4 linked regions of the Lytechinus pictus genome follow. The protein of the gene in region 2 purifies or fractionates together with the protein of the main gene of each other region. This does not show direct contact. Links are inferred from orthologs where the notes say so. Each region holds a gene or a part of one and is shown on either strand. Other genes may lie near its edges.

Region 1 (7,070 bases), on a different chromosome or scaffold from region 2:
AGGAATTAATGAAAGAGAAAAAAAGCTAAAAGGAAGAAATAAAAAACAAGAAGGGGTAAAGAAAGGATGGATGGAAGAAAGAACAAAGAATGAAGGAAAGAAAGGGTAAAAAGAAGGAAGGAAAGAAACAAAGAAAGAAAGAAAGAAAGAAAGAAGAGATAGATATAGGATGGATGGACTCAAGAATTAAAGACAGAAAGAAATAAAAATAAAAATAAAAAAAAAGAGAAAAAGAAATAGAGAAAAATATTTTTTTTAAGGACAGAAAGAAGACAAAGAAAAAAAGGAAAATTAAAAAAGAAAGACAGTAACAAAAAACAAAGAAAGATTGAAAAGAAAGAAGGAGAGAAAGATATAAAGAAAGCTATAACTATCATGATAGTATCATCATATAAAAATTATCAGTTTCTTTTTGGCTCATTTAAAATAAAGCTACGAAAGAAACCAAGTGTATCAAAACACACACAAATGCATATGTGGGGCTATCATGTATTCAAAGCGCCGTGCCGGCGGGCTATCGCCATGGCATGGCATTGCATTGACACTCGATCGCTCGTTGTGCCTCGCTCAAAAACCCAGCTTCATAGTAAAATTTTGATGTCACCAGCTCTTCACGCGGGGTACAGTAAGCCAATCGCAACTCAATATCTTGTCTTAGCGCGGCAAACCGAAACCAATTTGCATTGATGGTTTAGCTTTGCGCTTGTGTGGTTAAAAACTTTGAAACTTTTGCCTGGCCGTGTTATAATGTTATTGAATATCCAATATAGGTTAATAAAGAGGCGCGATAGCTCAGTAGAGCGGGGGTTTCGGATTCCGGTGACCCGGGTTCGATTCCCAAGTGGTGCGCTAGTGCCCTTTGCCTTGGTAAGGCATTTAATCCTCATTACCAGGTCCCTCGGAAAGGACTTTAAGCCGTTGGTCCCCTGGTTGCTTGCTCACAGGCATTCATGCTTTCTTAGCAGTCAGGTAAAAAACCTCGGTACTGTCTTCAGGTATTAAACTTTTTTTCTCTCTATTTTCGGGGTTTAGCTTGAGAATTCCTACGGCTACGGTCAGCGTGAGAATCGGGTGAATTGTGTGCGACTCACGCAGCTCAGATTGTGTGAGAGTTGGCAGCCCTGAATAAAGACAACAAATAATCAACAATCGATGAGCCTTGTCGCGTCGCATCGGGGGGATTTTGCATTGTTTAATGTTAACATGATCTATTCTAAGTCTAACGACTAACGTTAATGGTGGCTGCACGTGCACGATAGCGAGCCGTCTGTGTCTGACAAGCCTCCAGGCTACTCCAGGGCCATGCTAAGTCAGTAGAGGCGCACGGCCAATATTGGAGACTATCTCCAATGTGGGAGATTATCTCCAATATCAGAGACTTTTGTAAAGAATTTGGGTATCCAATTTCAGAGACGGTCTCCAGTTTTGGAGACCAATTTCCTTTGTTTACATTTGCTGCAAAAGGATTACCTTGGCGGCAAATAAAAATGTGATAAGGGGATTCCTAATGAAAAATTACCCCTTTTCACCGTCTACTTTAAAAATTCACCGTCTACTTTAGACCAAAAGCTTCGGTCTCTGTTATGTTGGTTGTTCAGCTGAACTCCGTTGGCTTCACTCACCAAATACAGAGACCGAAGTTCTAGCGCGATCTGTACAGGGGACTCAATGGCCATATGTTTATGTACTTAAGATCGGATAAAACGGGGAAGTGAATTTGCGCGACAGCCGAGGTAAGTCACTGTTTTTGTTCCTTTTAACTCGATTTTTCGCCGTTTCTTGGCAATTAATGCCAAGAGGGAATATCAATTTGCATTTTGGTCGCATTAATTTTCAAAATGTTTATTGATTAAAGACAAAAATTGAAGAGCCCCGACGGGGGGATTTTGCATTGCAAGTCCCCTAATGGTGGCTGCACGCTAGCGAGCCGTCTGTGTATGAGGAGAACTTAAAAAAAAAAATGTTAAAAAACTCCTCAAAACAGACGGCTGCCAGCTGTCTACGTCTACTTTTGTTTTGATAAGGATTTTTCTTGTCAATCACACACAAAACAAATGGGCTTCTGACCTCAGTGAGACAAAATTTTGGGTGGAAATAATCACGCTTTTGTTGGTGTTGTTTCTTTTGTCCTTTTGCAAAGCAAGTCTCCAATGACATGTGGGAGATTGTCTCCCCTATTGGAGAGAGTCTCCCATATTGGCCGTGCGCCTCTACTGTAAGTGGAGCCAACGCAGTTCAGCTGAACAACCAAAATACAGAGACTGAAGCTTTTTGGGCTATCCTGAGCTGAGCCCCAGCTCCGCCTGAATCATCGGCGGCGTCTTTTTCGAGCTGCCGCAGCGCGCAGTAAGCGGCGGAGCGGAGCACCTTCACTCTGCATGCGCATGCTTACCTTTCCCACAGTCCCACTCGTAAGTTTTCTAAACATGTTTGGATCGTAATCAGTTAAAACCTCCATTCCAACGAATCCACCCATCTCTTCGTCAGCAAACGCTGACATATCCACTTCGAAAGGTTTCCAATTCTGTTCATCTAGAAAAGCGGGCTGTTTTCGTGATTCTCTCTTCATTTTGTTGTATTTCTTCAAGCGCTCGCGCCGCTTCACGTGTCGAATGGAAGTCGCCATCTTGATTTGATAACCTTATATTATAACTTGATTTAAGGCATAGCACAGCGTATGCGCACACAGTCTGCTTGAAATGCTAAATTCATCCATTCCTGCGTGAACATAATTTTTGTTACTTTTTAAAACATTCCTGTGAGTTTAAAAATAAGTATATAGTTTTAATTTCTTTACCTCCATTTTTATTGTATTGTCAATATGCTCTGTCTCGCTTCTCACCTTTTTTCATGAAGAATTCATATTTCTAATCAATATTTAACTCCAAGCACACCGCCGGTATTTGGGGGGAAATGACGCGTGGCGCTTAACTTCGCGTATTTTTGAAAACGCCCTGAAAATGACTAAAAACATCCCCTCAGAAAAATCAACGATCCTCACATGTTACACTCTAAATATGTGCATGAAATTTCCATATAAGGATATCGTGACCTTTCCGATCATGACCCTGTATTCTGCTTCCGTGGAAACCAATTTATGGTCACACCGCAGGCGATTTTACCGTGTGGCTTGGATTCTTCATATCTCCGGTATTCAAGTGTATTTCCGAAGAGTGAAGTACTTGTTACATTTTTTAGGGATGATATTATTTTGTCCTGAAAATGAGTGTAACTAGCAAGGAAATGGCTTTGAATTGAGCAAACCAAATTTTGGTTCACGATTTCGAGGTACTACGCGCTTGACTTCAATCATGGCATCCGCTGACTTCAGCGCAGAACATACACGAATACTCCAACTCACCGGATGGACTGCCGATGAAATTCACTCTCTTGTACACGAACGGAAATGTCCTGGTGAGTAGATTTGTGCCGATTACGTATTCTTAATACCCGATTGATTGGATTTTTATTATGAAATGATGTGAAATGGTTGTGATTGTGACATGAAATGTGAAAAATGTCGATCTTTTTCAAATATCTAATGAACAATTTTGCCGTGATTGTGCAGAGGGAGTGCGCGCAAAATTGCACAGCCATTTCTCCAGTCGACCGGCCACATTCGCCGACCGAATTTTTCTTTTCTGCGCATGCGCAGTTTAAGGTATGGATATTCCATTGCCTCTCTCCCTCCCTCTGGAACGACTGTTTTCATTTTCCTCGTACGTTTTTCAAATCAATAGTTGTGTGATGTCAGGCAATTCAAGAAATTAGACTTGAAAGTCAAATTTGTCACTTTTAATTAATTGTTTGGTCATATTTACTGAATTATTTTGTCTCAATTGTGCCCATAACCAATTCTTTTCCTTTATTAATTAATTTTTTTTTAGGGGGGAGGGGGAGGGGGTGGGGGCCTCAAAGAGACATAATTACAAAAGAAACAAATTATACTTTCAAATGGGCTTTAAAAATTATTATAAGCTAATAATTATTTCTCATTCTCAGAATTTCTTTATACCATTGCTGTGAATAACACATCCTTCCCCTATCAATTTTAAAACCCTTTCTCTGTTTAGTGCCCGTTCATAATTATTTTTTTTTAATTCATTGACAAAGAATTGTGGCCCCCCCCCCCCCTGCCCAATTTTTTTTTTTTTTTTTTTTTTTTTTTTTTAAGAAACACATATATTGGTTCAGTCCTAATATTTGTTTTGGTCTACAGTATGTGCATTTATTTTCAAGTTTCACATTATTTTTATTTTATAAATCCAGACTTTCCCTCTTAAATTAGCAAATATTATCCTTTTATTTAAGGTAGCAAACACTTTTTAATGTCAATAATTAAAGTTTAGATCAATAATTGATTGATATTTTTTTTCAATTATTTGAGTAAATATAGTAATTAGTATGCCGTTGATTTTAAATCACTCAGGCAAAGAACCTACATTGACATTTTTTTTTTCTTCTTCCTTTTCTTTTAATTACAGATCACTGGTGGGAGGACCCAAGGCCTACTTTTGGCTTAATGGAAATCATCAGAAAATGTGTTGATGACACTGAGAGCTTGAGCTTCCGGAAAGACTTTGTTAATATTTTGAAGAGCATGGGCATCAAAGAACCTAACTGCACATTACCTGGAATCCTGTCCAAAGTGAAACGCAGTGCTTTAAAAGCAATCAGTGCTGATAACTTAGAATCCCTATGTGAAGAATATACAGACTTGTCTGGGTCTAATCGTGTTATTGGTTCAGCATGTCAGCAATTGGGAATTACTCCTGGTTTGTTGAAAGAAGGATGCAGTAATTTACAAGGAGATATCTCAAATGGAATCATTGTAGAGCTATTTCATTATCGTAGACGAAATTCCATTCCTTGGAAGACTGTTCTTGATGAGTGGTGGTGTGCACTTTTTCCAGAAAAAACTGGTGAAGTACCACATAGAGGAACTGTTATAAGTAGTTGGAAAAGTGTAGCCACAAGGAGGATCAAATTGTCCCGAGATTCATCAAGAGAAAGGTTGGAGGAATTTTTAAGAACTCCCTACTGCTATCCAACTAAAAGACCCATCAATGAAGAGCAACTGGAAGATGACCATCCTGATGGAAATGAGCCTCCCCTGACTACTAAAGATGACAGTGAGCTTCCCCTGACTACTATAGATGACAGCAACGAGGACATCGTGAGCACATTTGATGATGCCACTAAGAATAAAAGAATAGTTATGAAGAGGTACCAAGACAAGGTTAAGGATATGAAGAAGGAAAGGCAAGAGATGATGGACAGACAGCAACAAGCAAAAGAAGAAAAGAAGAGAAAATCAGTAGCAACAGCAGTCAGAGCAACTGAGATGGTAAACAAGTTGTGTGATGGTCCTTGTACCTCCAGTGCTGATGTGGAGTCCATGATGGCTAAGAAGGCTCCGTCTGATCAAAGAAAGGCTCTGTTGGCACAGATTGACTACTACAAGTCTGTTAACAAAGGATTGGTCAAAGGTGCTTTGTTTTTTAAGTCAAAGGCTGGTAAACCCCTAAGCGCATCTGACCTGTGTGACAACTTAAAAGAGATAATTCAGGTTGTTCATTCAGCCCCCATCGGTCAGTCAGAAGATGCTGAATCTGGTACATCCTGCACATTCCCTGATAGTGACACTCTTCAAGAAGAAAGGAAGGCATTAAGAGAGAAACTGCTATCAAAAGTGACAGGGAGAAAGCGCAAAGAACCCTTTCCTGAAACTACCATTTTACACAAAAGAATTAAACACAAGTTTCTTCCTGAAGGTGGCAAACGTCTTGTCACATACCATGGCAGAGTGTTGAGAAAGAGTACTCAACAGGACATTGAAGACTTGATGGAATGTAACGATCAGGAATATTTCGACAAAGGTTATACATTTTACACCCTTGTGTATGACAATGACGAGAACCTGTACACATATCCTCTTGAGAAGGAATGGGAAGATAATTGTCTGGAGCTCATGTAAGAAAGGCAGCCAAAGTTATTCATTTGTACAAAGGAAAGAAAAATGATGTCTTAACTGAAAATGAACTCTGCACAAGAGATTTTGGCCCAAGTTCACTTCAGAGTTATAGCATTGATTTGAGAAAGATTACTTATCAATTCATCAGGATATTGAAATGAATACTTAATGGATCACTAACCTTTATTATTTGGACAAATTATTTACATATCAGACTTCTATGGTGGTTTGACAATGCTTAGTAATGGAACATATATCTTCTGGAATTCAGTAATTCATCCATGTCGACAGATAAAGAGGTATGTGAAATAAATTTGCTATCTTTTTTGTGTGTTTGAAAAGAAACTATTCATGCACACACCGAAAATAAATTTCGTTTTTACTCAATGTAATTGCATTTATTGCATGAATCCACCAATTACAATTATGTTCAGGGAATAACACTAATGTACAAATTATTTTTACTCAGTACATGTTTATAGCTGCTCTTTTTGTAGTAAATCAAGATTACTTCATCTTTTGCAATACATAAAAACATTGAATTGTAATATTTCCTGCCATATTGAGACACTAGTTTGTGGTACATATAATATGAATGTCTTTCAAAATTTTGTACCAGTCCACCAATTAATTTTTTACTCTTACAGTTTATACAAACCTGCAATCAAAAATCTACCAGGCAGATTTTGGAAAATTCTAATGAAACAGCATCTGTTATATTATTGTTGTGCTAAAAAAAAAACACAAGTTCAATGAATGAGGTAGAATATCTTATGCAGACTGTCCAATGGCTTTTACTATGCCTTGAATGCCCTCTTATCCCTTCTCATCAGGTTGTCCGCTCATTTGTGTCTGGCTGCAGTTTCCCCTTTCTCGATTTGATTCCCTTGGCTGTTGCTCATTGTCCTTGTCATGACCTACTTGAAATGGGATGAAGATTACAGTTATTTTTTGTTAAATTGTTTGAAGTCAGAATTCATAGAAATGTATTAAACATCAATGTTATTAAAAATTCAATTTATTATGCTAAAATTGGGAATATATTAAAATATCTAATGAAACAGCATCTGTAATATTATTGTGATACTTGAAAGAA
Region 2 (8,021 bases):
GATAAATATTTCGGGTGCAACTTTTCAGGTTTCATCAATATCTTACAAACACAGAAGGCAAATGGGATCTTGCAGCTCAGATTCAAAGTCAAGTCATAAAGTTAACAAATATCCCAAACATTCTAGTATTTTTTGTTCATCTTTTGGCCCCAGGATTTTGTCCCATAATAATAGGCCCTATAACCACGTTCAGCTTCCTTATATTCTGTTTTCATTATTTTTTTTCTGCTCATTACGTTAAGCCATCCTTGAACTCCATTAGATGCGGCTGGTATAATCATGTTTGTCCAAAAATGATAACAATGCACATTCGGTAGTGTCGTCACAAATCACCCTCGGTGGGCCCCTATGTGATTTTACTTCAATAACTGCAAACAATTCACATCAAATATACTGTTTCAAAAGCAACTACGTGAGTGATTTAGACTACACATAATAACATGACGATCGAAAAATGATCTGGGGTATGAAAGGGAACTACAATAGCAAATAAGTTGGAAAAATTCATTCTGAAGGTACATGTTTATTGTGTCTCACAATGATTCAATGATGTGTGACTTGGCCTCAAGTGGCTTGACGCTTGATAAATAATGCTCCAAATAGTGATTATTTATTTTTTATATGCGAGGTCAGAACAAAGTAGAGAAGCTGCTGCTGCAGTAGCAACAGGCATAGTTATGCATACCTTTCCCGTCTGTGACATTCTGAGTGGATGACTGCGAAAGGTTGAATAAGTAAAGTTAAGATATAATTTGATGAATATTCTGAATGTTTAGAAATGTATTTTCAACCCCAACCCATTTTGTATAAGTAAATGTTTATTATTTCAAGCTAAATCTTGTACTTCAACGTAGTGTTTGACTGTACACTTCAAAGCCGATACAAATAAATTCCATGTAGTAGCCGAGAATACATTTTACTTCCAAAATTTTGATCGATGCACGGCACATTTTATATGAATGTTTTCTTAACATTATCACAAGCAGAACTGTCATATAGTAACTATATTTTATCCACATTTTTTAAAGCGTAAACTAGTAAAAAATAATGACGTAACTAAGGTTTGGGCAATCGTTGGACAGTGTGTTTTTGTATGCGTTTTGTACATGTATTATATGCAGCCTTTACCCCCTCCCAAATAAAAATGCAAAGTAATTAAAGCAAAGAAATAACACTGATTTAGAGACATTCTTGTTCGACATCACATTTTGTAAGCATTCAATGCATATAGGGTCTAATAAATGTATCTCCAATGACAAAAGTAAGGTTCATTTAATTTCATTTGAACCTACCTGGCAGTCCAGTGAATCTATTATCTGTACTGTGTTGTATATTGGACTAATAACGCCGTACATTTCATTGCATGAATAATGATAATGATAATAACTATAACATTTTATTACATTTGCATTATACTTGCATGAAAACGTTTTATATTTTCACCATGTTAAAAAAACATTTTCGTATTAATAGTATCACGATTCGAATATAATTTGATTTTTGCTGACTTTTTGAAATTTAGATATTTAATGAATAAATCAATATTAAGCAACAGGAATTGAGGTCGAATGTAACAGAAACAATACAATTATGATCAATGATGATAAAGATAATGATAATCGAACACTGAAAGGAAAATATTATAAATATATAAGCCCATGATTTAATAAGTTGGCAAACAGCCACAATGAACCGCAGACTTTGAGAGGGTCCGAGAAGTGGCGCACGGGGAAAAGTTCAAGAAAGCTGCGAGTGAGCGAGCAATAGTTTTGACATTTTTAACATAAAATTCCTTTTCTCATTTTTTTCTTGGTGGTATTATTATTATTATCTTTATTTATTTATTTATTTATTTATTATTATTATTATTTTTTTTTTTTTGGGGGGGGGGGGGGTTCTAGCCCCAAAGCCCCCCACCTCTGTGCGCCATGTGCATCAAGTAATAATTGATATGAAATATACACAAGGTCAAGGACAATGCGCTCGATGGACCATGTTATCATAGCATGCACATTTTGTACAGTCAAATGAGAGTTCATTATGTTTATTCGTATTCCTATGATATCACAGTCAAAAAGTGTATTCATGCAAATTATAAAACACATATAGGCCTACATCATCACAACACAGTCGTATTAATTCTCACACACTCACAGACACCATGGATCCTACTAGATCCATGGTGACACATAAAAGAAAATACTTGCATTTTCTTATTCAGTATAGAAATGAAACACAGTAAAATGAAATTGGACATATTTTGAACAAAATGTATAAACATAATATCTTAATATTTCAAGGAGTAAGAAATGCATGAAACAAGCACAGTATGTTTCTGATTCTCATTATGGTAACTCCGAAGGAACTCGACAGGACAGCTTTTTGCTGGTATAATGCCAGCTGAGCTGGTACATAACCAATATTAATTACCAGTGAATATAAATGTTATTACATTAAAAACATTTATAATCACTTGACTTTCGTAAAATGTTGTCTGATATGCGTTCTGAAATCCGGTTGCTTACCTTAATAATGTTTTAAAACGGCTTTGGTGAGTTGTAATAATGACTTCCTCTTCTTTTTTCTTCTTATTTATGAGGTGTTGTAAACATTTTGATGGGGGTAAAGCGATTAAATGTGTGTTTATATGATGAGGGAAACAATGATGTATGTTATAGGCCGTTTATGATGCTTTCCGGTATAAGATAAAAATGAAAACTTTGATTATCGTTTAACAGCTAGAGTAACGAGTAAATAGAGTAAATTTTGATACATATGGTGGTGTTTTTTTTTTGTAAAAGGCATTTAGGGTCATACAGTTTCCCCTGAATCTTTGACATTAATTATTGAAATCATTTAAAAATGAAAAAAATAATGATCTCCCCACAAAATAAACAAACAAACAAACACAAAACAAAAAATAAACACAAACTACAAACAAAAGGAAACAAAAACACAAAATAGAGGCAACGTTCAGCTTACTTTATCACCTGTTTAGTTCTCGATTTTTTAAGAGAGAACCATAACAATCCGTCGAGTTGATTATGTTTGTAACCAAACAATAATTTAGCGACATTTTCTATGTTATTGACGCGCTACCATGGGCCAAAGGCATGGTCGATCACGCGAAACACGCGTGATACATCATAATAAACATTGATTGGGAAGAGTTGTTTGGGACATCTTTTTGAGGCTATAAGGCAAGACTGAACATCATGGTTCAGTTCGCAATGAAGAGCATAATACCCCCACAATCATAGTCCCTCAAAAGAAAGGCAATAGACAAAAACGATCCCCAACGATCCTCTTGAACATAGATACCCACAAGCATGCATATCATGACAAGGGCGATTCCGATCCCACGTTATCGCTTGCACTGCAGGTGACTATGATAAGATAAGATGATAATAATACTTAATTTTTACATAGCTCAAATTAAGAAGAAGAAAAAGACAAATAAGAAAAGGAAAGAAAGAAGAACAAAAAGACAGAAAGAACAAAAAGGAAAAGAAGAAAAGGAAAGAAAGAAGAAGAAGAAGAAGAAGAAGAAGAAAAAGAAGAAAAAGACAGAAAGAACAAAAAGGAAAAGAAGAAAAGGAAAGAAAGAAGAAAAGAAGAAAGAGAAAGAAAAAAGAAGGAAGAAGAAGAATAAGAAGAAAAAGAAAAAGAAGAAGAAAGGAAGAATGAGAAGAAGAAGAACGAAAGAAAGAAGAAGAAGAAAAAGAAAAAGGAGAAGAAGAAGAAAAAGAAGGAGAAGAAAAAAAAGAAAAAGAAGAAAAGGAAAGAAAGAGGAAGAAAAAGAAGAAGAAAAAGAAGAACAAGAAGAAAGGGGAATAAGAAGATGATGAAGAAGAAGAAGAAAAGGAAGAAGGAGACGAGAAAGAAAGAAAGAAGGAAGGAAAGAAAGAAAGAAAAGAAAGAAAGAAGAAGAAGACGAAGAAGACAGAAAGAAAGATGGACAGATAGATAGATAGATGATAGAAAGATAGATAGAAAAAGGGTCTTTTAATTCGTGGCATGCAACTTTAGATGAATATTTTTGTCGAGGGGACTGTCAAATCCGGTACAAGGTCCGGAACAAGGTCCGGAATGTATATGAAAAGAAAAGGCGGATGACGTCATGAAGTTAATCTTTATTAATTGGATTTTTGTTTGCTTTATCCTTTTTACTTATATGTCTTTTGCACATTATCAGTTGTTTCTCTTTCCCCCCACTCTTATGCACCAGTTTATTATGCCTTTCTTTGTAACCTGTTTGACCCACCTCTCACTAATTCTCTTGTTATTCATCTCTTCCTCCACCCCCATCACTGTTTTGTTCCAGATCCTGTTTGATGTTGCCTGCCCAATTGTCTTGATCCCTCACAGCTTTATTAGGGTCTTTTACTGGCCTTACTTACACTGACTTCCCTTTGTGTCTGCCTACTCCGATCCTTTGCTTTCATCCCCTTCTCTAACCTGATTGGTCGTCACAACTCTCTAGTGCCCTTTTTATAGACCTACATTGAAATAATGTATTTTCAGCACCTAAATCTTCTTTTGTTGGGTCAGAGACTAGAATAAAAAGAAGATAATCCTGAAATCGATCAAACCTCAAGATATTTTAACATCAGAATGGATGAATAAAGGTCGAGAGTGAAGAAGAGAAGCTGCACACCACGTGAAAAAAACTCTAACCAAAAAATGGGGGAAACCCCAACTCCGAAACACAAGCAAGTGTGCTGAACTAGTCTGGCAGCACAAACTTTTTTTAAATATTTAAACCCCTCGCTTCCTAAACATCCACTTTTGCCCCTCCCCCAAAAAAAAAAAAAAAAAAAAAAAAAAAACACACACAGCGAGGGTGATGATGCCGGAGTCGCTTTCCTCTGCCCGGTAAATAGTGGGAGACAGGTTTAAATCAAAAAGTAAAACCGTTCCTATACCATCTAAATTTTGAGAAGTCTGTAGACCATAGGCGGATCCAGGGGGACCCGAGGGGCCCGGGCCCCCCCACCTTTTGGCGGAGCAAAAAAAGAAGAAAAAAAAAGGGGAAAGAAAGAAAAAAAGAAAAAGAAGAGGAGAGAGGAGAGAGGAGAAAAAGAAGGGGAAACATAAGAAGAAGAAGACGAGTGAATAAATTAAGATGAGGGGAAGACTTGGAAAATAATTAAGAAAATAATTCATGTCATTAAAAACAAAATGTTCGCCCGCGCTTCGCGCTCGCATTGCCTTTTAGCTCATTTACATATCTTGTTCATTATGGAGTTTAAATATCAAGTTTGGAAGTCAATATATAAAACATATTTCATCTCGGAAATCGAACTTTCATTATTTTGTGTAATTTATTTTGATTTTTTTAAAGTGCTCTGAAAAAATGTCAGTTTTATGCTCTGAATATTAGCATTTTCTGCGCGCTCGCAAATTTATCAGGTACCTATTATTTTCGTGTATTTCATAAAGTTTACAAAATATCCCTTTTCAGGTCTGATTGTTAAAACGTATCAGCTAGCGCTGCACGCTCGCATTTTGATTGGCGAGTTATGTATGTCTCAATATTGATTATACAACAAACTACTTAAAATCCCCTTTTCATGACAGTGTATAAAAAATTTAGGCTCGCCATTTGCGCTCGCATTAATGGTTAATAACATATTAACTGATTGAAATGTCCAGTTTTCAGGCCATCATATCATCAGATTTCGCCCCCTCATTAGGCATTAATGAATAAGATATTAATTTAATAATTGAATTGTCCCTTTTGTTTCATCTCGAGCTTAGCAAGAGGAATAAGAAGACAGTCTTCATTTTCATATGATGAAATGTCCTAAGGACATTATTATTTCCAGTTTCAGATCACAATATCATAAATTTTCTGCTCGCGTTTTGTGCTCTCATTATTAATGTAGAAAGATCCCCTATTACCCATTCTTTTCATTATTTACAAAACATGAATAGAGTGTCCCGTTTTTTAGGTCTAAATCTCTAGTTTTTCCGCTCGCGCTTAATTCGCACTCGCATTAATTGTTTAGTTATATACCTATTATGTTCAAGTTACAAAAAGTGCTTAGAATTTCCATTCTTCGGGTAAAAATTTCAACAAATTTCAGCTTGCGCTTTGCGCTCGAATTATTTGATTTTTAAAATAGGTAACGACTTCATGGCTAACTGCATGCAGTCTTTAACAGGTACCTTTTCCATCAGTTCACTTCTGCTCGCGCTTCGTGTTCGTAGTAATTATTTAGTTGCATACACATCTTTTTCAGGATAACAAACATTGCCCAGAATGTTCAAATTTTAGGGGAAAAATACACAAGATTTCCAGAAAAAAATTAGCTCGCGCTTCGCGCTCGCATTATATAAATAAGGATCATGTATTTATGTTGAGTAATAAGAATAAAGCTAAAAAGTGACTATTAGGGCTACCCCTTCAAAGAAACCAAAAATCGAGCGGCCGATCGGGGAAAATATGGCTGAAAAAAAATCCGGGCCCCCCCCCCTATTGGCGAAGGCTGCATGATCCGCCCCTGTAGACTATTATCAAAGTTTCCATTCACGGAACTAAAATACCACCACGTGGTCCCAATCGATGCACGTGACCTTGTGTTCACGCTTGGATCCTGGAGCGAGCAGCTTTTTATTGCGTGCGCATTCTGCGGGAGAATGGACACCCATTCACTGGCGTTCGGAGTCTTCCACCAGAACTGAACGAGGCGCCAGAACTCTCACGTCCTATATGTGCGGTGTATCTGATTAAGGTTGATTCGATTACTTTCTCCAAGGCAGAAGGAACGTTTGTTTTACCACAGAATGCCGCCAATTAATGGAAGTGAACTTGCTTTGATGCAACTCCAAGATGACTTTGGCTATCTCAGGGAAAACATGGATCATTTTTTTCTTCTGGTGATGTCCTGTATCATATTCTGTGAGTATATAAAACTTTTGTGTCCGAGTGAGATAGTTTTAGACACAAAGGTTAATAGATAGATAGGTATACAAACATATATATATATATATATATATATATATATATATATATTTAGACTGAAAACTTTTATTTTTGCTTGTCAAAATTTTCCTTACCAATCCAATAAGCTTCTTTTTTGCCAGTCAGACATTTTTAAACAAGCCAGCATCCTGATCCTGGGCAGCACCCACTTTTTTTAATTTATATATATATATATATATATATATACAGTTGAATTTGTGATATATATGACAAGTTAATAAACGATTGAAACATAGCAAAGGTAAAAGTATGTTTGCATATACAGTATGCAGAGTTACGAAGTATAAAAACAAAGTTAGCGATTAATCGTACGCTTGATTTTCACGATTGATTGTGTTTTGTAGTCAATGGAATCAATCGTAGAAAAGTGTTCTACGATCATTGCTAAGCTTTTGGTTACGGGCCCCAGATTACACAGTATTCTTTCATATTAATACGTACATATTCATGATTTTCACTGAGGCTTGTATAATTTTCTATCAACTTGTTTTTATTATGTATATCATCTCATTGTATTATACTTTCATTTTATTTGTACCGAATTAGATAAATAACTTAACACAGAGAGATTATAAGTATACAAATGGCAATTAAAGAGTGGGTGCTGCCCATGGTGCTGGCTTGCTTAAAAACGTCTGACTAGCAAACAAAAAACTTATTGGGGGTGAATTTGGTAAGAAAAATTTTGACAAGCAAAATATAAAAAGTTTTCAGTCTCAAATTTAGGTGATTTTGGTTGATCAGAGCAAAATTGATAACCCCCCTCCCCAAAGGGTTTTTTGCTCCCTAATGAACTTGGTTTTGGTCAGAAGAAAATGACAAGCAAACAAAGGAGGGCTTACTCTCAAATGAAGGTGATTTGGGTCAAATCTCTACATTAAAGCATACAAACCTAATTTCCAGAGGGCATGCAGGGGTAATGCATGCGCACCCTTAGAACATTTTTGCTGGTGCTTCAATATCCCCGCTTTCCTATCAGGGCCATGGTAATACTTCGGTTTTGGTTGAAAACCAATAAGGAAAACAAAAATGA
Region 3 (7,352 bases), on a different chromosome or scaffold from region 2:
AAATCCAATAATTAAACTTCTAATAACTTTTATTCTTTGATGGATTTTCTCAAACCTTCAACAATATTTTTTTTTTTTTTTTTCTGTTATACATACAATTAAGCTTTTTCTCATGATAAACTTCCCTGAATATGCAAATAGCGAAACAATCCAGATCTATAGGAATACTCATGAATATTCATGATCTTGAGCTGCAAACCCCGACCCGCGCATGCGCAATTTGCATTTGCGATGTTTTGGAATCGGCAGTGAATTAATACGTGCGAGGAAATTGTTACTGGCTTTAAATCACCAATTTTGAGCCTGACAGAAGCAAGGACAAGGAGTGAGACAGGATGAAATGCAAGAAGATTAGTTTTTGATTGTTTGTAAGGTCACATTGTTGCATGAGTTTTATGATTTCATCACATAAAGTGATGAAATAAAGTGTCATTAGGAGTTTCAGAACGAGTTATGTACCCTGATGGTTTGGGTAGGTGTAGCGGTAGTGAAGTGTAGTGGAGCCTACATGAATCATCACCTGAGGTACCTCTTTGGTAATCCCTCCAGTATTTTGGACTGAGATTAATGGCATTACTCTTTTAAGTTAGACACAGCTCATGAGATCGAGATTTGAGAATAATTAGTTATTAATTACAACATACAAGTAAAACAGAATGTAGACAGGAATAACCATCATTTCAGGGGATACATTTGACAATTTCTGACATCTTACTACTATCCCCATTCACCGACAGTAGTATGTTAGTGCCAGCCCGCATGTGTAATCATGTCGCCCAATTTGGGCCTATAGTGTTTTGTCTTGATTTTTAATTTTATTTAGGTCTAAATGACATATCATCTTTAATGATGGGCCACATTTTTCTTTATACTCTTAAGCTTTTTTTTTATACTACTTATTTTCAAATAAAATACTGAAAATATACGTTACCAATGATTTATTCCTTACATTTTAAAATTGTTTGCGGGAGATGCAAAACTGGCAGCCATGTGTTGCTGCCCTCTACGTTTGTGAAGTTAGGCTTTTATCAAAGCTTTTCAATTAGAATTTTCGATATCCTGGGTAAGCTTTTTCAGTATTGATATTTTTAATACCAGTATTCCTAATTGCTTCAATACCGGTATACCATCTAATATCGTGTAAATTCCCAATTCACTCTTTCATTCTGATTTTGTTTTTCTTTATCTCCAGTCTCTTGCTTACCTTAATTCCCCACTCTCTCTTTCCAATCAACCCATCCTCTCCCCTTCACCACCCCTCTCTCGCTCTCTTACCAAAAACAATCAATATCCTCTTCTCCGAGTCTCGACCTTCCCCTCTTTTTTTTCTATTTCTCTCTTCTCTCGTCCCCAAGTCCTGGTCATCAATATTCTTTCTCTCTTTTAATGTCAATTCTTCAGTCAGTAACGTTGGGGAAGAACAATAGAAAACAAGATGGCGGCGTAAACATCGGGCGAGTCTCCCTCGTCTTTTCATAATATTTTTCTTTTTTTTTTGATGAATTCTTGTTTAAAAATGAAATTGATAGCGTAGAAATGTCGGAAATGAAGTTGTATCCCATTTACATGATTCAGGGCTAGATTATTTAGGAGGAAAGTAAAAATCTCGGGGGCGAAAGTTTGAGGTTTTTTGGCGGTATGTGTAGATGAATGCAATAGAATCCCTGGCTCCGTGGAGAGTCTACGTTAGTTAGTAAATGATTTTTACTCTCTAGGAGCCTCCTGGTCCTGGCTAAGTTAAACCAGGTTAATGCTGAACCTATTCTAGATCTACACCCGATCATCATGCATCTTCTTCTTCCTCTGCTTTAGTTTTATCAGAAATCAGTACAAAATCAAATGCACAGTAATTAGTATGATGTAAATTGTAAGTAACGTTAGTCGTTAATGACTTAATTCATCCACAGTGGCGGACCGTGATTCGGAGGAGACAAAGCATTGGAGGGGCACTGTATTGTTTGTGAACAATGCTGTGCCCCTCCAATGCTTTGTCTCCTCCAGGTCACGGTCCGCCACTGTCCATCCATCCCGGGGGGGGGGGGGGCACTCAGTACATAATGCATAGTGGGTATGTGCCGCGGAGGGGACCCCCATTTTTAGTTTTACACTCAAATTTCCATTCCAAGGCATAGCATTTTTGTCTTATTGAGAAAAAGAACAAAGAAAGCCGCTCCAAAGCATAGCATTTTCTTCTTATCGAGAAAAAAGAAGAAAGAAATCCGCTCCAAATTAAAAGCTTCGCATATTTTCAGTTACGACGTTCCAGCCGTATTGATCTGCTACAATGATCCGCAATTTTTGTGAAAAGCGGCCGCAGAGCGCTGTCCGACCATCGCATCTGCGCTAGCGCACCAAGCGCCCGTGCTGCCGGGCTTGCTGCATGCACGAGGCCCGTTCCATCGGGATGCATACGCAATCACACGCAGGCGACCCGTTTCAAGACCAAGGACCCCCGTTTTCACAAACACTTCGTCACTTGTCGTTCCGAAGCCCGTTCCGAGGACCCTCCTTTTTTTTTTACAATAAGCCCGCTCCAAGGCCTCCGTTTTTTGTCTCGCCCGCGGCACATACCCACTACTTTTGGCCTACTTTTTTGATCGAGTGCCCCCCCCCCCGTGCCATCCATATCCATACAGTGCAGTATACACGTACAGTTGATGATGGTTAAGTTACATCAGATTCAGAAACACCATTTATAACACGCGGGACCACACACGACAAAATGGTAAAAGATATCGTTTCAACAACAAAGTAAACGAACAATTTCATAACAAAATAACATGAATTCTCACCCATTTCTTAGTCCACACTCTTTAATACCCACAAAAGTTCAGTCGCAAAGCAGAAGAATATGTATAATATATATAAAATATCTAATTTACTTGGTTGATTCCAATTTCTTGAGATTGCCTTGCACAGACGTCCTTTAAATACACGTGCAAATCGCAAGTTCCCTGTGCGTTGTTTTAAGGACTGTTCGAATAACACTTATTGAAGGGTTCTAATAAACCATTGGAAAAATATTATTAAATTAAGTTTAAAAGCCCTCCATATTATACTCAATTAGATGCAAGAAATGGGCATGTGGTTATTTCTTTTTCAAAGTTTCAGAGTATTTTACTGTATGCATTTTCTGAAACAGACAAACCCTATTTCATAATTTTCGTTTGTCCAGCACTTTGTTATTATCCCCTCTTGTAAAAATAGATTATTCCAAGACCTTCATTGATCTCTCAATTTTTACTTGCCAGTGCCACGGTAATCACGGAAAAGTGGTAAGAATTTGTTTTTCTGATGCGAATTCTTTATATTTTGTAATTTTGTAAGTATACAATTGAGAATTATTAATCCTTAAAGCAATATAAATCATTATAAGTTCAGTGGTTGTCCAATGGTGTGATTACAGCTGCGCGAGTAGAGGAGCACGGCTGAACTGATCGAGCGGGGATGTCGCGGCAGGCCGGTGGAGATGGAGATGGAGATGGAGCGACGGGACCCATCCCATCGATCGCCAACGCGCCATCGGGGGATCAGAACTGACAGACAGCTATGAGCTAAGCTTAGCATCCATGGGCCTGTTGCATGACGAGATGAGCGATACGTAGGAACGTCCTTAGGACCATTCTTCCGAGATAGGAAGATTGGCGACATATCACTAATAATAATATCAGCGCTTTCCGTTTCACGAAGTCGAAGGCAATTTTGTCTTTCATTTCAACTCAAGTCCGCGACGTTGTTTGAACTTTGAGTTTGAACTTTGATATCGATCGGATAGTATCGGAAAAATATTTAGTCTTCATCGTCACATGAACCTTGAGTTTTACTTTTAGTTTTATTTCTGAATGACGACTTTTTATAAAATCATATATTTCAATAAATCAAAGGAGATCAAATTTTTTATTTATTACTGATTGTAGAATTGATGTATCGATCGAGCTTACTTTATGAGGTAAAATGAGAAAAATCTTTAAAGATTCATAAAACATAACTGGATAAAATTGAAATTTTCATTAATTCCCTTATCTAGATTACGGTGCCCTTTTTAGTAGGGACGTCACCCCAAAAATTAAAGTGTTGTTAATCTAGTTTTAAATAGTTTATCTGGAATAAGCTCTGAAACACGAGTAAAATGACACCAAGAAAATAAAAATTGGACCAGGGGTTGCCGAGATACGGCCAATTCAAATTTAAAAAATAAGGCAGATTTTCTGCCAAAAAGTGGCAAAAATATGTTTTTTTGCAATTTTTAAAGCTACCTATTTTAAAACTTGATGAAGTATAGAGGTTGCTTTTCCTTGGGGGTTCCTAACATGTTAAACACCATATTAACGGAGTTCAAAATATGGGGAAAACACAAATTTTCACCTTTGGACCCAGAGGAAGTTGGCAAAAAATGACTAAGTCCAGCTAATTAATATGTGAAAATGGCTTAAATTGAAAGTGGATGGGCAATTACCGTAAGTAACGGTGTATTAACCGCACCCGTGTATAAACCGCACCCCCAATTTTGGACTAAAAAAAAAAAAAAAAAAAAAAAAAAAAAAAATCCTCACATTTACATGCATATTTTAGGTACGAAGAAACAAAAACTAAGTTAAAGATTTCAAAGTATTCAAAGAGATTACCAGTATGCAGAAATCTGCTGTTCTTGATCAATTCATCTACAAATGTTAGCAAGAAAGAAAGGTCCCGCCAATATTGGCAATTTACACACTCACTCACCTCACAGTCACAGTGTACACACACACAGCACTGCCTTTCTTGTACATGTACATTTCAAACTTCGATACGGTACCACTACCAGTACATCTTATCAAATTGTGATCTGTGTCTTTCACATTTCTTGCATCACAACCTCACAATCACTTTCAGAATTTGTCTAGCATTCGATGTCTTAGCATGAATTTTGGATACGGGATTACAGGAAGGTTCAAGAAACAAAGAAATTTGTATTTTTTCCAGTTGTTTGACGGCTTCGTGCCGTCTCTATCGTGCGTGGTGCACGGTGTACGGGAAAGAAAAAAAATAAGCTGGCGCGAAACGGGACTTTGAGGGGTTAAATTAAATGAATAGCGCCAGCTTAAGTCGCACTAAAACCAAAATCAGCTGTGACAAATTATTACCGAGAATGCTTGGCGTCTCTATGAACTTAGCCAGGGAACTTCGCTGCTTTGAATCGAGAATAAAGTCGAAATTAGTGTCATGAAGGTGGGTGCATTTGTTACGACAGTATTTGATCATAAGATCATAATAATTGCTACCCATTACCCGCGGCTCATACCCCTCTAAACGACATTGCACTGGGCGGCTACGGCCGGCCACTCGATGTGTTGTGAACTGGCAGACTTCTTACATGTTCGGGAGGGGCTACGCGGGCGGGCTCAGACCCGTCACCGTGTATAAACCGCACCCCCGACTTTTGCTTATATCCCGCCGAGAAAAAGGTGCGGTTAATACACCGTTACTTACGGTAATCACAAATTTCACACAGATGTAGTGTTTGTAATTTTTTTCATATATGTTGATCTTGTGAGCATATATACAATAATATGCAAATGAGGTAGTAATTAAATATTCATTTGTACATAACAAATGGGAAAAATGCCTAATTAAAATGCGAAAATGATATAACTTGAACAGGGATAGGCAAATAATCACCAAATTTTACAGAGGTGCAGAGTTCTTAAGTTTACTTTATATCTGTTGTTCTTGGGACTAGTGCTGCCACCAAACAGATATCCGAACGATTTCCGCCCGCGTGGACGGATAACGGTTTTCATTTTTCGGGTTCGGGTATCCGTGGACACTGATTCACCACCTTCCTGTCACAAAAACTCATTAAATTTGGTAAGACTCACCAACAAAATTTATAAGTTTTAGTCGCCAATATAATCACCAATATCAATTAATCTTCTTCGGTAATATATTCCCGCCGAAAACCATCGTTTTTATATCAGTTTTGGAGCATGACCATCCGTGAATGGAGGAAACTTCCGTTCTGACAACGATGGCGATTTTACTATGGTGTCGCTTAAGATCGTTTTTCTTTCCCATCTTATGTTTTGATGATTTCAAATGCATAACTCATCGTATATTTTCTTACCTCGACTTTCAATACGAGTGAAGAATGAAGATAATTTGAAACCATTTAAGCGTCAAATAAATGTTGATCGGGTTACTCGGGTGTGTCATGTTGTTTCTTGTAATTTATTCATCAATTGCAAAATGAATTCTACTTTTTCTCACAGCAACTTTGGTTACCAATGAAGATGATTATTTTTGAAACTATGAAAAGTTGAAAACGTCGAATAAATGTTGATTGCGTGTGTCATGTTGTTTCTTGTAATTTATTCATCAAATGCAAAATGAATTCTACTTTTTCTCACAGCAACTTTGGTTACCAATGAAGATGATTATTTTTGAAACTATGAAAACGTCGAATGAATGTTGGCTGCGTGTGTCATGTTGTTTTTTGTAATTTATTTAAATTGAAATGTGTAACGAAATATTCATTTTCAGTACTTTTTTCTCAAATCAACTTTCGATATGAATGAAGAATGAAGATAATTTTGAAATCATGTAAACGTCAAATACATGTTGATTGGCCGTTTTATTTTGTTTCTTTTGATTTATTTATCAAATCCAAAATAATGAATCATCCCTTTTCTTTCTTGAACTGTCAATAATAATGATTAATTAGAATGAAACTGTCCATTATCTAGATGTCAATTGTATTTGTGTTTTTGCAAATATTAAATATTTCACGTATGTTTATATTTTGATAACTTGTTCGTAGAAACTTATATCAGGATCAAAACTTCATTTTTTATTCTGGTAGAATTATTGAATTATGAAAGAATGATAATTGTCAATTGAAAATCTCTTTCATGAATTAATATTTAATATATAAATTACAAAACACACATTTTCCTTTATTTCAGTTTAAATGGCATATCCACTATAAATTTTGATATCCATCATCACGTAAACAACAATACTTAAAAGGCGTTATCGTGCCAGAAAGGTTTATGATGTGCGCCCGCGGAGTACCGGTATGTGGTCGGTTATGAATCGATGTGTTTTGCAGTAAAACTTACTGGTGATGAATGTAAGTGATTAGTTACTGTTACTGTGATTAAATCTTGTCTTGAATCTTTGTTAGAAGTGTGATTATGTTTCAGAAGTTGAGAAATGAGAAGTTTGGCTATGATTTGGGGAATGGGGAGAAACCCGTCATGAAAATGAAAATATTCCAAGTACGATCCCATTTGAAGGTGTAGCGAGTGTAATGTGACCAAATATATATCGGACGATTCACTCCAGACACGTCCAGACAGTACAGCACGTGCATG
Region 4 (7,243 bases), on a different chromosome or scaffold from region 2:
CGACATCATCTAGGATGACTGTTGCGGTATCCCGGGCGTTACGTAGCACATTCTCGTTTTGCTGGCACTGACTTTGTACGTGCCCCCCCGGGGGGCACTCGACCAAAAAAGTGGTAGGGGTGTGCCGCGGGCGAGGCAAAAAAACGGGGGCCTTGGAGCGGGCTTATTGTAAAAAGGAGGGTCCTCGGAACGGGCTTGGGAACTACAAATGTTTGTGAAAACGGGGGTCCTCGGAACGGATCTCCGTATGTCTGTGAGTGCGTATGCATAGCTATGGAACGGGCAATCGTGCATGACGCAGCTAGCGCGGCCTCCGCCGGGTGCGCTCGCGCTTAGGCGATGGTCGAAAAGCGCTCTACGGCCGCTTTTCACCAAAATTGTAGCAGATCAATGCGACCGGAACGGCGTAACGAAAAATATGCGAAGCTTTGGAGCGGATTTCTTTCTTCTTTTTTTTTCTCGATAAGAAGGAAATACTATATGCCTGCATGGAGCGGCTTTCTTTGTTCTTTTTCTCAATAAGACAAAAATGCTATGCCTTGGAACGGAAATTTGAGTGTAAAAATGGGGGTACGTCCCCTCCGCGGCACATACCCACTATATGCATTATATACTGAGTGCCCCCCCCCCCCGGGGGGCCGTAGACTCGCCCCATGCATGAAGGTACCTCCGAAGGTTATCTTTCTGGGAGGGGCTTTGTAGGATGGCTGATGTGCAGGACTCTGTCACCATTCAGACATGATGTTAACTGCCAATATTATTAACTCGTAGTTTTTGGCGCAGAATGTCCCCTGGTATGTCGCATTTCATAGCCTTGGAGGTTGGAGCTCAGCTTTGATGAGCTCATCGCCGACTGATAGGGGGATGTCCTTGATGATGATTTTTGTAAGGTTTTCATCTCTCAGTCTCGTGAATGGATTTACATCATAGATGGGATATCGCCCCTCGAATGGGTAGACCATCCGCAATGGGCTTTACCCGTTCGTCGTGTGAGTTGAGATAAACTCTCCATAGTCGGCGTATCTGCTGAATTCCTGTGATGTTTTCGGTAGAAACAACTTTTGACAGGTAAATGTATAGTTCCTCCGACGAGAGAGCCCTATCCTCGAGTATTCCTCACATCGTCTGCACTGACGAAGGAAAACGGGTTTAGGTCCCTTCGGTAGCAATGATTCTGGGCGTGGCTCTATCTTGCTAGCATACATATTGTAAGCGTTCAAAAGTTAATTCTAAATATCAGGTTCAGAATTCAAATGATACACCAAATGTCACAATATAAATGCTCAAATTCTCAGATGCTTAATTGATTAAATATAAAACATTTCAAGATGTACAATTCGTTCTAACACAGAGGCTTTACACATCATCGCAAAAATATATACATGAAATGTTTTTAGCAAATACTTGAAATGTTAAATGATCTAAAATATGAACAAGATAAAACATACATAATAATTATAACTTTCTTAATGAATACCTTAAACATGTTAAACTTTCACAATCATTTCAATTTTTGGTGAAATAAATAAATAACTGTACACATGTATAAGTCTATTATAAGACCATCGAACAAATTCTTGAAAATGTATTTATATTACTATTATCTTTAATCATAATTTCACACACCTCCTTAAAAAACATGCATCATGTATCATTTGTCACTGAAATAATTTGCTCTTAGCCAATCAGATAGCTCGTATCAGTTGTCAGTGAAATAATTTGCTCTTAGCCAATCAGATAGCTCGTTTCATTTGTAATAATTTGCTCTTAGCCAATCAGATAGCTCGTTTCATTTGTCAGTGAAATAATTTGCTCTTAGCCAATCAGATAGCTCATATCATTTGTCAGTGAAATAATTTGCTCTTAGCCAATCAGATAGCTTGTATCATTTGTCAGTGAAACAATTTGCTCTTAGCCAATCAGATAGCTTGTTTCATTTGTCAGTGAAAAAATTTGCTCTTAGCCAATGATATAATCAGAGAGCTTGTATTTTTTTACCTTTGCCATTTTTACCTCTGTCATTTTTACCTTTGCCATTTTTACCTCTGCCATTTTTACCTCTGCCATTTTTACCTTTGCCATTTTTCCCCTCTGTCTTTTTTACCTTTGCCATTTTTACCTTTGCCATTTTTAGCTCTGTCATTTTTACCTTTGCCATTTTTACCTCTGCCATTTTTACCTCTGTTTTTTTTTACCTTTGCCATTTTTACCTCTGCCATTTATACCTTTGCCATTTTTACCTCTGCCTTTTTTACCTTTGCAATTTTTACTTCTGCCTTTTTTACCTTTGCCATTTTTACCTCTGCCTACTTTACATTTGCCATTTTTACCTCTGCCATTTTTACACCGAGCCGTCCCGGTCCTATGTCAAAACTCAAAGTAATTATAATAAAAAATATCAGCTCGTTTAGCGCGATCCATATCCACCTCACAATTTTCCTACAAAGTGCTTGAAATATAGAGCTGAAATTGACTCTTTTTCTATCGGTATATCAAACAGTTTAAGCTCGCGCTTCACGCTCGCTTTGATTTTCATGATAAAAGGTGTATTGAATGCCTATATTCCCTGAATTGAACCCCTAAACAGCGATATTTTAGTTATGTCACGGACGTACGCGGTCGTCGGTTTTACCTTAAAGGGAAATCCAACCCAAATAAAAACTTGTTTTTATAAGAAAAATAAAAATCAAACAAGTTGATAGGTCAAAGTTTGAACAATAATGGACAAACAACAAGAAAGTTATGAATTTTTAAAAGTTGTAAATATTGGTAATTACTATACCCATGGGGACTTCAAATTGGCCGCATATGGGATGTCATATAGTGATGTAAGGCAAGGACTACTCTTCCATGTACTCCAATACATATTATGGCTAAAAATGTAATTTTTCCAAAAAGTTTTATTTCAAATTATATTTTTCTTTCATGAGGACATAAAACAATATACTACCTGGGTTATATTTAGATTACTACCACAGGGGAATGGGTACTTAGGAGAAAACCACAAATCCCTGATAATAAAGTACATGGCCTATGGGAAAGTTGTCCTTGCCCCTTGTCATAATTTACTTACCCAGTTGCCAATTTGAAATCTACATAGTATTAGTGATCTCAATTTTAAAGCAGCTATAACTTTCTTATTGCTTGTCCGATTTCTTTCAAATTTTCATCATTCTGTTTAATTTATTTTTCTCCTTCCCAACACATCATTCAATGGCCAAGGCTGGATTCCCCTTTAACTACATCATTGGGTATACAGCCCAACCTCCCACACCTTGCGCAATTCGGACTCAACACGGAATTGACGGGGCAAAAAGTCCGGCAAAAAGTACTGGTACATCCTTTATAAAACATTTTAGTTTATACCCTCGCAAATCTGACCCTAAACACGTAGCTTTCCTAGCGATATACATGTAGATACCTTTTTTTAAAAATTATTTTAGTGTTTTTGACACCCTTAATATTACTTTACGTACGTCAAAAGACATAATTTTTACGTGTTTTTTGGTCCCGCATGCATGGTATCTACTCGTCAATGTAAGTGGTCCCTTTGGCCCGGGGGGGGGGGGGGCGGGGAGCAGTCAAATATATATTGCTGTACACACCAAAAATCGTGTTTAGGGTGTTTTTTTCAGTTTTGGACGCGGTTTGCGCGTGGACTCGTTAAGGGTATCAAAAACACAAATTTTTAAGAAAAAGGGTGGTTTTGAAAGACTGGTCAATGGTCAGTCATGGGGTCGAACGTATTTATGGTATGTTTTTTCCCCAAGGCTTTTTTTTTTTTAAAGACTAGCCAAACGTGTTTAGGGTATGGCCCCCCGGCCCCCAGGTCATATTGGCGACAACTTGTTGAGGGGCCAAAATGTGAAAATATAACCTGCAAAAAAACTTGTTTAGGGGGGTATTTTGCACACAGGGAAAAACTCGTTTAGGGTTTTTTTGGAAATTCCTGGGTCACGCATGTGTTCAGCAATATTTGACTGGCCCCAGCCCTGGCCCTCTGGGCGAATAATTCAGAACCTATTTGGGAACCCGGGTGCAAACGCTAGATGAATCCCATTTGGGGTAAGTGGAATTCATGTGGGTCCCATAATTATGAGTAAAAAATTGAGTAAAAATCGTTCCCAGGGCCCTGCAGCATGACATACCTGCGTTAAGAATATTCTAGGTCAGTATTTATTTGGGGGTATAAAAAGAAGTTTTTCATTTTTATTTTGTTTTCTTGTATAACAGCGACACCGTAGTTGACGAGATTCCGAACATGTTTCGTTCCAAAATCCAGACCATGGCTGATGAAACAGTGGAATTCGGCATTAATAAGAGTTATGCACAGAATTACAATAAATGGAGAAGGAAAGAAGAAATGCAGAAGTGTAAGTAGTTATAGATCACTTCTGGTCCGAAACAAATAAGTTAGATCTAGTATCTAGATGAGTTGGCATCATCACCTCGAGGCTCGAGCGAAGTTCGTGCAGGCTCCACTCCACTTCACTACGCCTACGGTACCGGTAGGTACCGGTACCGGACGCTGCCCAATTCTCGCTCACCCTCACTTGAAAAAAGCGCGATGCGCACGCTGCTTATTATGATTATCATTTTAAATTCGTCCCAAATTCCTTATTGTTTAGTATACTCGCATAATTAAGCAGCCAAGCAGTAGAGGCGCTGGTCAGAAAATTGGGATCGTCCCAGTTTACAGGGACTGTCTCAGTTTATAAGGATTTCTTCACACAAGAAATCTAGGAAAGTTCATTCACCTGTCAAGTGCCGACACCATTCAAGTGTGCTAGTCAATGTAAACATATCGGGTTTCATAACAAGATTATTGGAAGACAGTAAGTCATGAAAAATAGACGGTGAACTGGGGGGAATTGAGGTCACTGAATCTATTTTTAGCACTCTCAATTCCCGTAATTGCTGTCTTTGTCCCGTAGGGGGAAGTGAAAAAAAAACGTCCCCATAATAAACAAGGACAGTCTCAATTTAATATCAAGACATGATTTGTCTTGGTTTATGAGGATATCCTTGTTTTCTGGGACAATCCCAATTTTTGGACCAGCGCCTCTACTGCCAAGAGGAGACCATTACATGAAAAAACCAAGTGTGGAAAAATAAAATCAATCCCTTTAAATTTATAATTCATCGTGAAATACTGCTTTAAATGTAACCCGATAACTGTTTGAACTTCGATCAACTGTACCGGTACCGCAACTGCACCAAATTACGTTTTTTTTCAATCACTTTAAAAACTCCTAAAAACAGTGAAAAATGTTATATTCTTATATGATGAAAGAAAATGTGAGAGTCGTAGGTGCGGGAGATCCTGATATGTCGTCATGACAAATTTTTCTAGAATGAATATTTGTTGTGTGAATGAATTAGCGAGGGCATACCTTGAGATAGCAGCCTGCCCTAACTCCGCTCACCCTGATTGTGTATGATAATCATTGTAAGAGTATAGGGCCTAAACGGAATTGTCATAATTTTTCAAGTAGACTTTTCTTTAGAATCTGATTTTTTGTGTCATTTCCTCTATTTTGATGGTGCTGAACATGAATCCGCTTGTTGCCAGTTTCATAAATGCCTCCTTCCGCCGTTGCCATGGCAACTGATTAATATGTTTTTAAAAAATAACATATTGTGCCTATATATATGGCACATTACCCTGTCAATTTAAATGGTCCAATCTATCATTCTTAAGCCTTCCAAATTCGATTTCTAGATATAGGCCTATCAAGTCATCAAAGTATTTGCAAAAGATCCATTGCCATGGTAACGGCTTATCTTTCCCGCAGAAAAATACAATTGTCTTGATTGCCTGCCGAGACGGCGCCGCTTTTTCCGACGGCGCCGCGCGGGCGGCGTCGTAAACATTGAAATCTTAAAACAGGATATGTTTGTGAAATGTAATCATAAGTTTGAAATAGGCCTACAGGTTTTTATAGCTATCAATGCCTATCATGAAACTTAGAAATAAGGGAGTCAGTGAAAATCCTATAGTGAGTTTCAGGTCATGCCACGGTCAAAGGTAATTTAAGGTAAATGAACTTTGGCCAATGACGTTGGGGGCATTTATTGAATTGCCATCATAAATCAACATTATGGTGGGAAAAGATGAATGGTGGAAAATGACAATGAAAATGCCAAAATTTATATAGGTTTGACTAATTCATTTGAATTAAATATCGAAAACAACAGAGTGTTCTGCATGGATATAAGTTCATTTGAATGCATGGTAATGGTATGTTGCCATGGTAACGCCTGATTACTCTACTAATTCAACTCGTGAATTTAATATGAGATAAAAATTAAGAGTAAACAATGTAGGAATGTCTGAATTTATTTCAGGTCATAATTCAGTATAGGCCTACCTCATAAGAAACATCGCTTCAATAAAAATAGTGGTAATATTTGCTTGTACAACTTTCTAAGAGAAATCAGCTCGATTGATCAGCCTATATTATTATGCTCATTATGTTAGCTAGAGCAGATTATAACTGTAATGCATGAATAATAAAGTCAGTCTTAAAAGAGATCGAAAAGAGATCGAGTGTCATATAAATTCATGAACAAATTTTTTTTGCTTGTCAAATTTTCCAGCCCCTTGCCTCACCCCCTACTTTTTGGGAAAGATTTCCGCCCCTGATTCAGAGAAAAAATGAGACATTTTAAGCACTTTTGTAATGATGTTTTATCTTACAAACCGAGAATGACTTGAAAACAAGACATGAATAATGAAACAAACGGGCAATGCGGGCACGAAGCGCAGGCTGAATAGTTATTTTGTTCTAAATGAAGGGTACAGGTATTTGTCAGTCCCCCAACTCTCATTTTCGTCTTGTCTTCTTCCTTTTATTTTCCTTCCTCTTAATCTTTTTTTTTCATTTCATTATTTTCCTATTCCGGCCTCGATTGATACCTCTTCCGTTGTATTTTTTGCGACGCGGCCATTTTTTCTTCTTTATACTCTTTTACATTTTCCTCTCTCACTTCTCCTATGATTTCTTCTCTATCTCCCCCTCTCTCTCCCTTTAGCTGAGGGTGACGGCAAAAAAAGCCCCTCGGTCGTCAACGATTTATCATGGAGCAGGCAGATAAGCTGATGTTTACAGAAATGTTGAAAGATGATCATAAGAGTTTGTCACTGAGTCACCAGAAATATTTCGAGATTTAATTGTAATCATTGTCCCAGTCCAAAGTGTGTGGGAAAAAGTTTTACAAAAATTATCTTGCTATATAATGA

What was found.
Region 1: the proteins of KRR1 small subunit processome component homolog (region 2) and ATP-dependent RNA helicase DDX24-like purify together in Homo sapiens (affinity purification with mass spectrometry; 3 studies listed by BioGRID and IntAct, with this or other methods). This does not show direct contact. The link is inferred for Lytechinus pictus from reciprocal best matches to the Homo sapiens genes KRR1 and DDX24.
Region 3: the proteins of KRR1 small subunit processome component homolog (region 2) and ATP-dependent RNA helicase DDX18-like purify together in Homo sapiens (affinity purification with mass spectrometry; 3 studies listed by BioGRID and IntAct, with this or other methods). This does not show direct contact. The link is inferred for Lytechinus pictus from reciprocal best matches to the Homo sapiens genes KRR1 and DDX18.
Region 4: the proteins of KRR1 small subunit processome component homolog (region 2) and protein KRI1 homolog purify together in Homo sapiens (affinity purification with mass spectrometry; 3 studies listed by BioGRID and IntAct, with this or other methods). This does not show direct contact. The link is inferred for Lytechinus pictus from reciprocal best matches to the Homo sapiens genes KRR1 and KRI1.

The regions. Positions count from the first base shown.
Region 1 is NC_087261.1:25,557,176-25,564,245, reverse strand, and holds the start of ATP-dependent RNA helicase DDX24-like, read right to left. Parts: upstream 3,020-7,070; 5' UTR 2,804-3,019; coding exon of another isoform or gene 2,798-2,803; 5' UTR 2,627-2,797; coding exon 2,393-2,626; intron 1-2,392. Other genes in the region: uncharacterized protein LOC135157277, read left to right, coding at 3,312-3,414, 4,485-5,977. UniProt on the Homo sapiens protein: ATP-dependent RNA helicase that plays a role in various aspects of RNA metabolism including pre-mRNA splicing and is thereby involved in different biological processes such as cell cycle regulation or innate immunity.
Region 2 is NC_087253.1:12,255,041-12,263,061, reverse strand, and holds the start of KRR1 small subunit processome component homolog, read right to left. Parts: upstream 3,004-8,021; 5' UTR 2,983-3,003; intron 1-2,982. Other genes in the region: putative ammonium transporter 1, read left to right, coding at 6,790-6,904. UniProt on the Homo sapiens protein: Part of the small subunit (SSU) processome, first precursor of the small eukaryotic ribosomal subunit.
Region 3 is NC_087248.1:10,997,072-11,004,423, reverse strand, and holds the start of ATP-dependent RNA helicase DDX18-like, read right to left. Parts: upstream 3,003-7,352; 5' UTR 2,797-3,002; coding exon 2,793-2,796; intron 1-2,792. UniProt on the Homo sapiens protein: ATP-dependent RNA helicase that plays a role in the regulation of R-loop homeostasis in both endogenous R-loop-prone regions and at sites of DNA damage.
Region 4 is NC_087255.1:3,240,795-3,248,037, forward strand, and holds the start of protein KRI1 homolog, read left to right. Parts: upstream 1-4,240; 5' UTR 4,241-4,261; coding exon 4,262-4,373; intron 4,374-7,243.